Linked DNA regions of Macaca fascicularis. Each later gene encodes a partner of the first gene's protein in a complex. Links are inferred from orthologs where the notes say so. Each region holds a gene or a part of one and is shown in the gene's direction. Other genes may lie near its edges. The genes, in order: TAF6, TAF11 and TAF10.

Evidence for each region.
Region 2: TAF6 (region 1) and TAF11 share a complex: the UniProt entries of both Homo sapiens proteins name them as parts of the TFIID basal transcription factor complex. The link is inferred for Macaca fascicularis from reciprocal best matches to the Homo sapiens genes TAF6 and TAF11.
Region 3: TAF6 (region 1) and TAF10 share a complex: the UniProt entries of both Homo sapiens proteins name them as parts of the TFIID basal transcription factor complex. The link is inferred for Macaca fascicularis from reciprocal best matches to the Homo sapiens genes TAF6 and TAF10.

Annotation. Positions count from the first base shown.
Region 1 is NC_088377.1:48,763,768-48,767,417, reverse strand, and holds part of TAF6 (transcription initiation factor TFIID subunit 6), read left to right. Parts: intron 1-351; coding exon 352-471; intron 472-972; coding exon 973-1,118; intron 1,119-1,226; coding exon 1,227-1,304; intron 1,305-1,396; coding exon 1,397-1,498; intron 1,499-1,900; coding exon 1,901-2,083; intron 2,084-2,945; coding exon 2,946-3,020; intron 3,021-3,146; coding exon 3,147-3,272; intron 3,273-3,650. UniProt on the Homo sapiens protein: The TFIID basal transcription factor complex plays a major role in the initiation of RNA polymerase II (Pol II)-dependent transcription.
Region 2 is NC_088378.1:136,813,259-136,816,908, forward strand, and holds part of TAF11 (transcription initiation factor TFIID subunit 11), read left to right. Parts: intron 1-1,435; coding exon 1,436-1,523; intron 1,524-1,750; coding exon 1,751-1,847; intron 1,848-3,096; coding exon 3,097-3,227; 3' UTR 3,228-3,650. UniProt on the Homo sapiens protein: The TFIID basal transcription factor complex plays a major role in the initiation of RNA polymerase II (Pol II)-dependent transcription.
Region 3 is NC_088388.1:59,466,963-59,470,151, forward strand, and holds TAF10 (transcription initiation factor TFIID subunit 10), read left to right. Parts: upstream 1-1,241; 5' UTR 1,242-1,266; coding exon 1,267-1,513; intron 1,514-1,636; coding exon 1,637-1,791; intron 1,792-2,006; coding exon 2,007-2,071; intron 2,072-2,155; coding exon 2,156-2,270; intron 2,271-2,447; coding exon 2,448-2,537; 3' UTR 2,538-2,617; downstream 2,618-3,189. Other genes in the region: scaffold protein ILK, read right to left, coding at 2,848-2,997, 3,181-3,189. UniProt on the Homo sapiens protein: The TFIID basal transcription factor complex plays a major role in the initiation of RNA polymerase II (Pol II)-dependent transcription.

The DNA of each region.
Region 1 (3,650 bases):
CTCACTCTGTTGCCTGTGCTGGAGTGCGGGAGTGCTGGACTGCAGTGGCACAATCTCGGCTCACTGCAACCTCTGCCTCCTGGGTTCACGCGATTGTTGTGCTTCAGCCTCCTGAGTAGCTAGAGCTACAGGCACACACCACCACGCCCAGCTAATTTTTTGTAATTTTAGTAGAGATGAGGTTTCACCATGTTGGCCAGGCTGGTCTCGAACTTCTGACCTGAGGTGATCCACCCGCCCTGGCCTCCCAAAGTGCTGGGATTACAGGCGTGAGCCACCGCATCCAGCCTCCTCCCTTTACTTTTCCTGCTACTCTCGTCACGCCTCCCACTGTGCCTGCTTTCCCACCAGCTCCCAAAGAGCAACAGAAGGCCGAAGCCACAGAACCCCTGAAGTCAGCCAAGCCAGGCCAAGAGGAAGACGGACCCCTGAAGGGCAAAGGTCAAGGGGCCACCGCAGCTGACGGCAAAGGTCAGTCCTCCTAGGCCAGGCCTCTCTGTACTCTTGCCCAAAGCCACGTGGCCATTTGTTTTGTATCCTTTTTTTGTTTTTGAGACAGAGTTTCACTCTGTCACCCAGGCCAGAGTGTAGTGGCACAATCTCAGCTCACTGCAGCCTCAGCCTCCTGAGTAGCTGGGATTACAGGTGCCCACCACCACGCCCAGCTAATTTTTGTAGTTTTTTTTAGTAGAGATAGGGTTTTGCTATGTAGGCCAGGTTGGTCTCAAACTCACCCTCATGTGATCCGCCTGCCTTGGCCTCCCAAAGTGCTGGGATTACAGGTGTGAGCCACCATGCCAAGCCTCCATGTGGCCATTGGTGAAGTGGGCCAGAGAGCCCCAGAAAGGATGGGGAAGCCTAAGAAGAAGCTGGGTCTCCTGAGTCTCAGGGGAAGTGGAGGGTTAAGGTTCTTCTGTTACTGAGGTTTCTTCTGGAGCTTTCTTTGTCAGACCCACCTCTCCAATCACACAGGGAAAGAGAAGAAGGCACCGCCCTTGCTGGAGGGGGCCCCCTTGCGACTGAAGCCCCGGAGCATCCATGAGTTGTCTGTGGAGCAACAGCTCTACTACAAGGAGATCACCGAGGCCTGTGTGGGCTCCTGCGAGGCCAAGAGGGCGGTGAGGGCCCCACCAGCCTGCCCTGGCCCTGAGACTCCTCCTCCTGGGGGTCCTATGAATTGCTCCCCACATCCTACCCCCACCTGACTGGCTTCCCTCCTCCCACAGGAAGCCCTGCAAAGCATTGCCACGGACCCCGGGCTGTATCAGATGCTGCCACGGTTCAGTACCTTCATCTCGGAGGGGGTGAGAGCATGAGGTTCCACTGTGCAGGGACGGCAGCGGAAGCTCCTGTGAGGGTCTCCCTGCCCCATGCCCAGCACTCCTCCCTCCCGCAGGTCCGTGTGAATGTGGTTCAGAACAACCTGGCCCTACTCATCTACCTGATGCGTATGGTGAAGGCGCTGATGGACAACCCCACGCTCTATCTAGAAAAATACGTGAGTGGTCCTGCCCACCTTCCCTTCCAGGGACCAGGGACCCTGCTGCCACCAACAGGAAGTCAGTGGTCAGCGGTGGCTCACACTTGAAATCCCAGCAACTTTGGGAGGCCGAGATGGGAGGATCGCTTGAGCTCAGCAGTTTGAGGACAACCTGAGGATAGTAGTAGGACTACTGTCTCTACAAAAAAAGATAACAAAAACAAAATTAGCCAGGCATGGTGGTGCATACCTGTGGTCCCAGCTACCTGGGAAGCTGAGATGGGAGGATTGCTTGAGCCTGGATGATTGAGGCTGCAGCGAGCCATGATTGTGCCCCTGCACACCAGCCTGGGTGACAGAGTGAGACTTTGTTTCAAACAAACAAAACCAGAATCAGCTGCCCCGCCCTTTCTCCCTTAGGTCCATGAGCTGATTCCGGCTGTGATGACCTGCATCGTGAGCAGACAGCTGTGCCTGCGACCAGATGTGGACAATCACTGGGCACTCCGAGACTTTGCTGCCCGCCTGGTGGCCCAGATCTGCAAGCATTTTAGCACAACCACTAACAACATCCAGTCCCGAATCACCAAGACCTTCACCAAGGTGAGCCAGGGAAACTTGAGCACCATTGGTTTCATCACTGGCCACCTCTGGTTGGGGGAAGTGACACTGGAAACAAGGGCAGAGGGAAGAGGGACTGGAACTTGTGGGGCTCTAAGGGCCTTGAGGCTTGTCTGTAATGCCTTTTTTTTTTTTTTTGAGATGGAGTCTCACTCTTGCCCAGGCTGGAGTGCAGTGGTGCGATCTCTGCTCACTGCACCCTCTGCCTCCTGGGTTCAAGCAATTCTCCTGCCTCAGCCTCCTGAGTACTTGGGATTACAGGTGCCTGCAGCCATAATTGGCTAATTTATTTATTTATTTATTTTTTGAGACGGAGTTTTGCTCTTGTTGTCCAGGCTGGAGTGCAATGATGCGATCTCGGCCCACTGCAACCTCCGCCTCCTGGGTTCCAACGATTCTCTTGCCTCAGCCTCCTGAGTAGCTGGGATTACAGGCATGTGCCACCACACCCAGCTAATTTTGTATTTTTAGTAGAGACGGGGTTTCTCCATGTTGGTCAGGCTGGTCTAGAACTCCCGACCTCAGGTGATCTGCCTGCCTCAGCCTCCCAAAGTGCCAGGATTACAGGTGTGAGCCACTGTGCCTGGCCACAACTGGCTAATTTTTGTGTTTTTAGTAGAGACAGGGTTTCACCATGTTAACTAGGCTGGTCTTGAACTCCTGACCTCAGGTGATCTGCCTGCCTCAGCTTCCCAAAGTGCTGGGATTACAGGCGTGAGCCACCGCGCCTGGCCTCACTGTCATGTCTTAATGATTTACAAGGAAAGTGTCTATGAAAGACGTGGGTCCCTATCAATCATCCTTTCAGACCCCTTCATCTTAGTTTATTTCCTTCCCCTTACAGAGCTGGGTGGACGAGAAGACGCCCTGGACGACTCGTTATGGCTCCATCGCAGGCTTGGCTGAGCTGGGACACGATGTTAGGCCTCTGGGAGGAAGAAATGGGGGAGGGGACGCAGTCATGAGGTTATAGAGGGCACTGTGCCCCCACCTGGGAGACCCTGGTGACCCTCCGGCTTTGGTTTCTTCCTTTCCCTTCCAACAGGTTATCAAGACTCTGATTCTGCCCCGGCTACAGCAGGAAGGGGAGCGGATCCGCAGTGTGCTGGACGGCCCTGTGTTGAGCAACATTGACCGGATTGGAGCAGACCATGTGCAGAGCCTTCTGCTGGTAACCGAAGCCCCTGTCCCTGCACCTGCGCCCCCGACCCCCCGAGAGACAGCCGGCGTTTAGCAAGCATATGGCGTATTTTATTCACCTACTCCCATCTTTGCCTCCTGTTTTCAGAACATACTGCAAAGTCTGATACTATTTTACAGATGGAAAGACTGAGACTCAAGCTGAGTAAAAAATAAGGGGGCTGGCTGGGCGTGGTGGCTCACGCCTGTAATCCCAGCACTCTGGGAGCCTAGGAGGCCAGCTTGGGCAATGTAGCGAGACCCCGCCTACGAAAAACAAAAAGCTGGGAGTGGTGACATGTGCCTGTGGTCCCAGCTGCTAGGGAGGCCAAGGTGGGAAGACTGCTTGAACCCAGGAGTTCAAGGCTGC
Region 2 (3,650 bases), on another chromosome or scaffold:
TTTTTTTTTTTTTGAGGCAGAGTCTCGCTGTGTCGCCCAGGCTGGAGTGCAGTGGCATGATCTCGGCTCACTGCAAGCTCCGCCTCCCGGGTTCACGCCATTCTCCTGCCTCAGCCTCCCGAGTAGCTGGGACTACAGGCGCCCGCCATCACGCCTGGCTAATTTTTTTTTTTTTTTTTGTATTTTTAGTAGAGATGGGGTTTCACTGTGTTAGCCAGGATGGTCTCGATCTCCTGACCTCGTGATCCACCCACCTCGGCCTCCCAAAGTGCTGGGATTACAGGCTTGAGCCACCGCACCCTGCCTAGGTCATAGTTTTCTTAAAAATAGAAATAGCTTTATGACATTTTCTGATTGTAAAAAGTAGTATGGGCTCATTGCAAATAATTCAGAGAATACAGAAAAATAGAAAAAATTACCCATAAACTCACCAGGCAGAGTTCACTCTAAGTATATAGTTGGGTATAGTGTTTGGGTATGTACCTTTTCAAAGTTTTTTTAGATGTTTGATATGTATAGCTAAATATTTTCATGTCAGTAAATTTGCTCATAAATCATAATTTTTAATGGCTACAATCGAATCCCATTATGTTGTTGAACTATAATTTAACCAGTCCCTGTAGTGGTTCTGGTTGGGTATTTGTACTTTTGACATTATGATGAGGATCTTTGGACATATCTTTGCATACTTGTCCATTACTTCCTAAGATAAACTCCTAGAGGTATAATTGCTAATTCAAATAGTATGAACATTTTCAAAGGCTTTTCATATGTATTTCCAAATTTCTCTCCAAAAAGGTGTTGCAGTTCACTCTGCCAGCATGTGTGAGTTTGTGTCCCATATTCTAATACCATTCTTTTTTTAATAGTGGTCTGATTTATGAAAAATGTTATCTATGAAAATAATATTTCCTTAGTTAATAATGTTGTTCCCCCATGTTGGTTGACCATTGGTATTTTTGTAAATTTCCTGTTCATATACTTTGTTCATTTTCAAAAATTGATATGGCCCCTTTATTTGTTTGAAAGAATTATACATTAGGAGTATTACCTGTTTCCACATATTTTGCAGATATTTCTCCTAAATCTGTTAATGTTGAAAACTACTGGTTTGATCATAAATTTGTATATTAAACACCATCAGTGTGAAATTCAGTAAGGTAGAGTCTAACGCTGAAAACACAGTCTGTATAGTAGGATACAGTGACCCAATGTTGTTCTTTTTGTTCACAGGTAAGAAAAGAAGTTTTTATTTTATGTTTTCTCAAATTCCTTTGGAGTAGAAGTATTTTATCTTCATTCCTCAAGGCACCAAGCCTAATGCTATTGACCCCTTAAGAATTCATTTTTGAATTGTCTGAGACTTTTATTGACTTAATAATATCTTTAGTATTCATTCTTACAAGTTAACTTAGTTACCTGGATCTTTGTTTAGAATCCTGGTTTCTTCTTTTTCTGAGGAGCAGCTGAACCGTTACGAAATGTATCGCCGCTCAGCTTTCCCTAAGGCAGCCATCAAAAGGGTAAGGATAGACCACCACACTTCATCTCCATCATGTTTTAGAACTGAACCCAAGGGCCATGTCCATTGGCATTTGAAGTGAGGTGTTAGACAAGTCAGTGGATTATTTAAGTGGGGAAAAAAAAATGCACCTCAGTTATCTTACCTTTTTCTGTGAATTATTTGGTACTGTGTTCCAAAGCCAGTCTTTGACTATTGTAGTCACGGAGTCTTTCTCCTTCTTTCAAGCTGATCCAGTCCATCACTGGCACCTCTGTGTCTCAGAATGTTGTTATTGCTATGTCTGGTATTTCCAAGGTTTTCGTCGGGGAGGTGGTAGAAGAAGGTGAGTAGTGTTGGTTACAAATACTGCGGTGGTCTTATTTTTAAGAATATCTATACAAAGGAGCTTATTAAAGCACCTGTGGGAGTTCTCATTTGCATTTGAAGTTGAGCAAGTGGGGAACCCTGTATTCAGGAGAAATGACCATTATTCCTTGCAAGTTTCAATAACAGATGGCAAGGAACCATCTGGGACTCCCCTCCCTGATTCCTTTCCTCAGCCCAGGGTGACAGAAGTAGACTTTGTATTTTCTGCAGTGGACTTTGCTCATTTCTGCTGCCAAAAGTAAAGATACAAGAAAAGCAATCACAGGGCTGACCTGTGTGGGATGGTGAGTTGTCCCTAATGTTGTGCTCCCTGGGAACTGCCTGCCCCCTTTATTGAGTAAAAAGCCTGGCTGTTTCCCATTGCTACTCTGACTGGTGAAATCTTTTTTTTTTTTTAATTTATTTTTTTAAGCAGGAGATAGATACTTTTAAATTATTATTATTTTTTGAGACAGGGTCTCGCTCTGTCGCCCAGGCTGGAGTGCAGTGGCGTGATCTTTATTTTTTCTTTTAATATTTTTTATGTTTCCTTTTACAAATCACAAATTTAGATGGTGTACAAAATGAGATGGTAACAGTGGTGTGACCATAGCTCACTACCACCTCAAACTCCTAGGCTCAAAGGATCCTCCTGCCTCAGCCTCCCAAGTAGCTGGGACCATAGGCATGCACTACCACACCTGGCTAATTTTTATTTTTATATAGTTATTTGAGACAGGGTCTCACTCTGTCACCCAGGCTAGAGTGCCTTGATCATGCGATCACAGCTTACTGCAACAGTGAGCTCCTGGGCTCGGGTGATTCTCCTGCCTCAGCCTGAGTAGTTGAGACCACAGGTGTGCACCACCACCCCTGGCTAATTTTTAAATTTTTTTGTAGAGACAAGGTTTTGCCATGTTGCCCAGGTTGGTCTCAAACTCCTGGGCTCAAGCAATCCTCCTACCTTGGCCTCCCTAACTGCTGGGATTACAGACATGAGCCACAGCATATGGCCTATAGGAAATATATTTTAAACTGTTGTCTATGATAAAGCCTGTTATGAGATGTTATACTAAAAAAAAATCTTCTCTTAAAAAGGAAAAATGTTTTGGTTTATTTCCTTAGCAAGCTTAAGAAAAGTTAACGAGAATTACAGGACTCAAAAGGATTATGTGATTAGTAAATTATTGTATGATAATCAGACTTTCTCCTTACCCTCTGTTTAGCACTGGATGTATGTGAGAAGTGGGGAGAAATGCCACCACTACAACCCAAACATATGAGGGAAGCCGTTAGAAGGTTAAAGTCAAAGGGACAGATCCCTAACTCGAAGCACAAAAAAATCATCTTCTTCTAGACCAAAGTCTAGAAAGGCCTGTATTACTGATGGAAGAAGTATTGGTTCCAGACTTCCTAGAAGACTGTCTGCACTGGTGCTTTAGTATCTCAGGCCTCCAAGGATTTCATGATGATTTTAACATCTTTCTCAAAACTCTGATATTTGTCACACCTAGAAAGTATGTAGCCTGATTGATACTTGCCTTGACTAAATTTTGGGACCTCTTGGGGGCATTTTGAAGTATTTAACTGTCTTGGCCAGTTGGAAGAAGATGTATGGGCCGTAGGCATCTTCTGGACAGGAGAACTGCTTTCAGAGAGAAAACCTTTCCAAGAGAGTTTTGTTTTGTTTGAGATAGGGTCTTGCTCTGTCACCTAGGCTGGAGTTCAGCGGCATGACTACAGCCTTGAATTCCTGGACTTAAGTGACCCTCCCGTCTCA
Region 3 (3,189 bases), on another chromosome or scaffold:
TAGAGTTCAGGCTTTTTATTTTCTTCCCCCAATCATAGCTCACAAACCTTCGTTGCTATTTGTTCCTAAGTAACAAATCATTTTTCCTCCTCCCTCCCCAAACCCCAAGGAACTCTCACTCTTGCTCAAGCTGTTCTGTCCCCTTAATACTACCCCTGATACAAACTGCCTGGTTAATTTCCAGAATTCTTACAAGATTCAGCTCAGAAGTCACCTTCTCTCGTGAATGTTTTGATTCCCTGAGGCTACTTCATTTTGCTATGGCTGAAAAATCCTAGATTTTCTAAACAAAACCTGTTTGAATCTTGGTTCTGATATGGACTGGGAGAGAGACTGGGTCAAGCAAGTTTATCTCCCTGAGGCTGTTTCCTCGTCTGTTAAGTGGGAATATTACCTGCCTTTCATAATCACCAGGGAATAAAGTGGAATAATGTTGATAAGAGTACTTGGCACCTGGAAGTAGGTGGCAGATGTTAATGCCCTTCCTCCCTTGCACTGCGACCCCTGTGTCTACCTCTAGTATTGTAACGACCACATAGTATTGAAATAGCCACTTTACTTGTCTGGCTTCCTTTCCAAGACCGTTGGTGCCTAGAGGACTAGAATCGTGTTCTATTTAACTTTGTATTCCCAGGTCCTAGCTCAGGAGTTGGCAAATAAGAATTAAATATCTGCTACATTGAAAATCTCACGCCTTTCACTCGTTGTGATTTTTGCATACGTTGTCGACTTAGGCTGAAACCCCTCCTCCTTCTACAGCAGCACTGTGGGCCGCCCCACTGCTGCCCCCACCTCTCGGGGCAGTTGGTGGAGAAGGGCGGGGGGCTTTCCAAATCCACTATGAATCCTTACAAGGCTGAATAAGGGAACTTGAAAGGATGCAGACAGGCAGGCAATCCGCAGTCGAGGGATGTAGGGCCCATAAACCTCGAAGCAAGGTCTTGAGCGTCAGACAGAATGAGGTGTCCCAGAGCGGCGGAAGAGTCCCGGACGCACGCTGCTTCTAGTCTCGACGGAATCGCCACCGAGCACCGCAGAGGCTAGGGCGGAATGGCGACGGCAGCGCAGTTCGCCAAGGCTTGGTCTCCGCCCTTCAGCCTATTTCCTCTAACCCGCAGACCCACTACCAGAGGAGGCGGGGAGCGGGCTGGAGAGCACTAACAGTGACAGGCGGGGCGAGTCGAGGGCGCGTGACGTCACCCCGGGGTGTGCGCGGCGCGAGCGGAAGCGGAAGCGGCTCTGTTCGCCGCCTCTCCCACCGGCCCGATGAGCTGCAGCGGCTCCGGCGCGGACCCCGAGGCGGCGCCGGCTTCCGCCGCCTCGGCCCCGGGCCCGGCACCCCCGGTCTCGGCTCCCGCAGCGCTGCCCGCCAGCACCGCTGCGGAGAACAAGGCCAGCCCCGCGGGGACAGCAGGGGGGCCTGGGGCTGGAGCAGCTGCTGGGGGCACGGGACCCTTGGCGGCGCGGGCCGGGGAGCCAGCTGAGCGGCGTGGGGCGGGTGAGGGCCTGACGGGTGAGGGCGAGGGAAGCGTCTGGGACTGGGCCCAGCGGCGGGTGAGGGCAGCGGGTATAGACAGACCTCGCTGGGGCCCTGCGCCTCCCACCTCTGTGTCTCATTTTGCTGGTTCTCCTCCAGCTCCGGTGTCGGCGGGTGGCGCGGCGCCCCCAGAAGGGGCCATGTCTAACGGGATTTACGTACTGCCGAGCGCGGCCAACGGAGACGTGAAGCCGGTGGTGTCCAGCACGCCGTTGGTGGACTTCTTGATGCAGCTGGAGGATTACACGCCTACGGTGGGCTTCCGCCCGAACAAGGCCACCTAGCCTGCTGTCACAACTTTCAGCCACATCTCCGTGCTTTTCAGCACCCTCTGATGTTTGCTTCCGTAGTCGCTCTTGTTTTTGCCCTCTGCTCACCCAAATCGTGAGCTTCCTGATAACCAGGTCTATCCGACATTTCCCTCACCCTCATCCCACTCTGCTGACAGTTCTCTTAATTGATTTCTTAGATCCCAGATGCAGTGACTGGTTACTACCTGAACCGTGCTGGCTTTGAGGCCTCAGACCCACGCATGTGAGTAAACCCAGGGCAGGTTAGTTTTGGGTGCTTGTGCAGTGTGTTGTCCATCTCCTTCTCATCTAAGTTTTTTCTCTCTAGAATTCGGCTCATCTCCCTAGCTGCCCAGAAATTCATCTCAGATATTGCCAATGATGCCCTACAGCACTGCAAAATGAAGGGCACAGCCTCCGGCAGCTCCCGGAGCAAGAGCAAGGTGTGAGGGGAGGCTCATTGAATCACTAATTACCTTCCACAACAGTGGAAGCTTATCCTGCCACCCCTTTGGGGAAACTGAATCCTAGGGGAGGTGTAAAACTTACTCAGGGTCACCCATCTGGGATTGAAGTGTGGGATTCCTGTGCTCAGTTGGTGCTCTTCCCTCTTCCCTCAGGACCGCAAGTATACTTTAACCATGGAGGACTTGACCCCTGCCCTCAGCGAGTATGGCATCAATGTGAAGAAGCCGCACTACTTCACCTGAGCCACCCAACCTAAATGTACTTGTCTGTCCCCATGTCCCCACACCAGCCTGTTTTCATAATAAACTTTATTGTGACAGGCGGGGCTGATCCCTCCCATGTTGGGAGACACCATGTGGCAAGTGACAAAGCTCTGAGCCCGCCCCTTTTGGGGCCACAGTGGTAGGGATGGGGGAAGGGGATGGACCCCATGGCTGGGGTAGTACCATGACTGGAGGCAGGGGAGGCAACCAGAGGTCTGCTGCTTTGGGGAAGTACATTCCCCCAACCATGTCCTGACACCTCTGGAGTTCAGGCAAGGGCCTTCCGGTCCTACTTGTCCTGCATCTTCTCCAGGATAGGCACAATCATGTCAAATTTGGGTCGCTTTGCAGGGTCTTCGTTCATGCAGATCTTCATGAGCTTACACACATGAGGGGAAATACCTGGTGGGATGGTAGGCCGAAGGCCTTCCAATGCCACCTGTGAATACAAGAAAAAACTGAGCCTCACAATTTGAGTCTGTCATGTAGAGAGAAGCCACTGGCCCCTGGGACAGGATAACTGTATATCCGAACAAATATGGGAGGAGCCCAGGCCCACTACAGTTATTTTCACCATAACCAACCACTCCCCCAACACAAATGTATGCTGTTCTGCTCTCACCTTCATTCC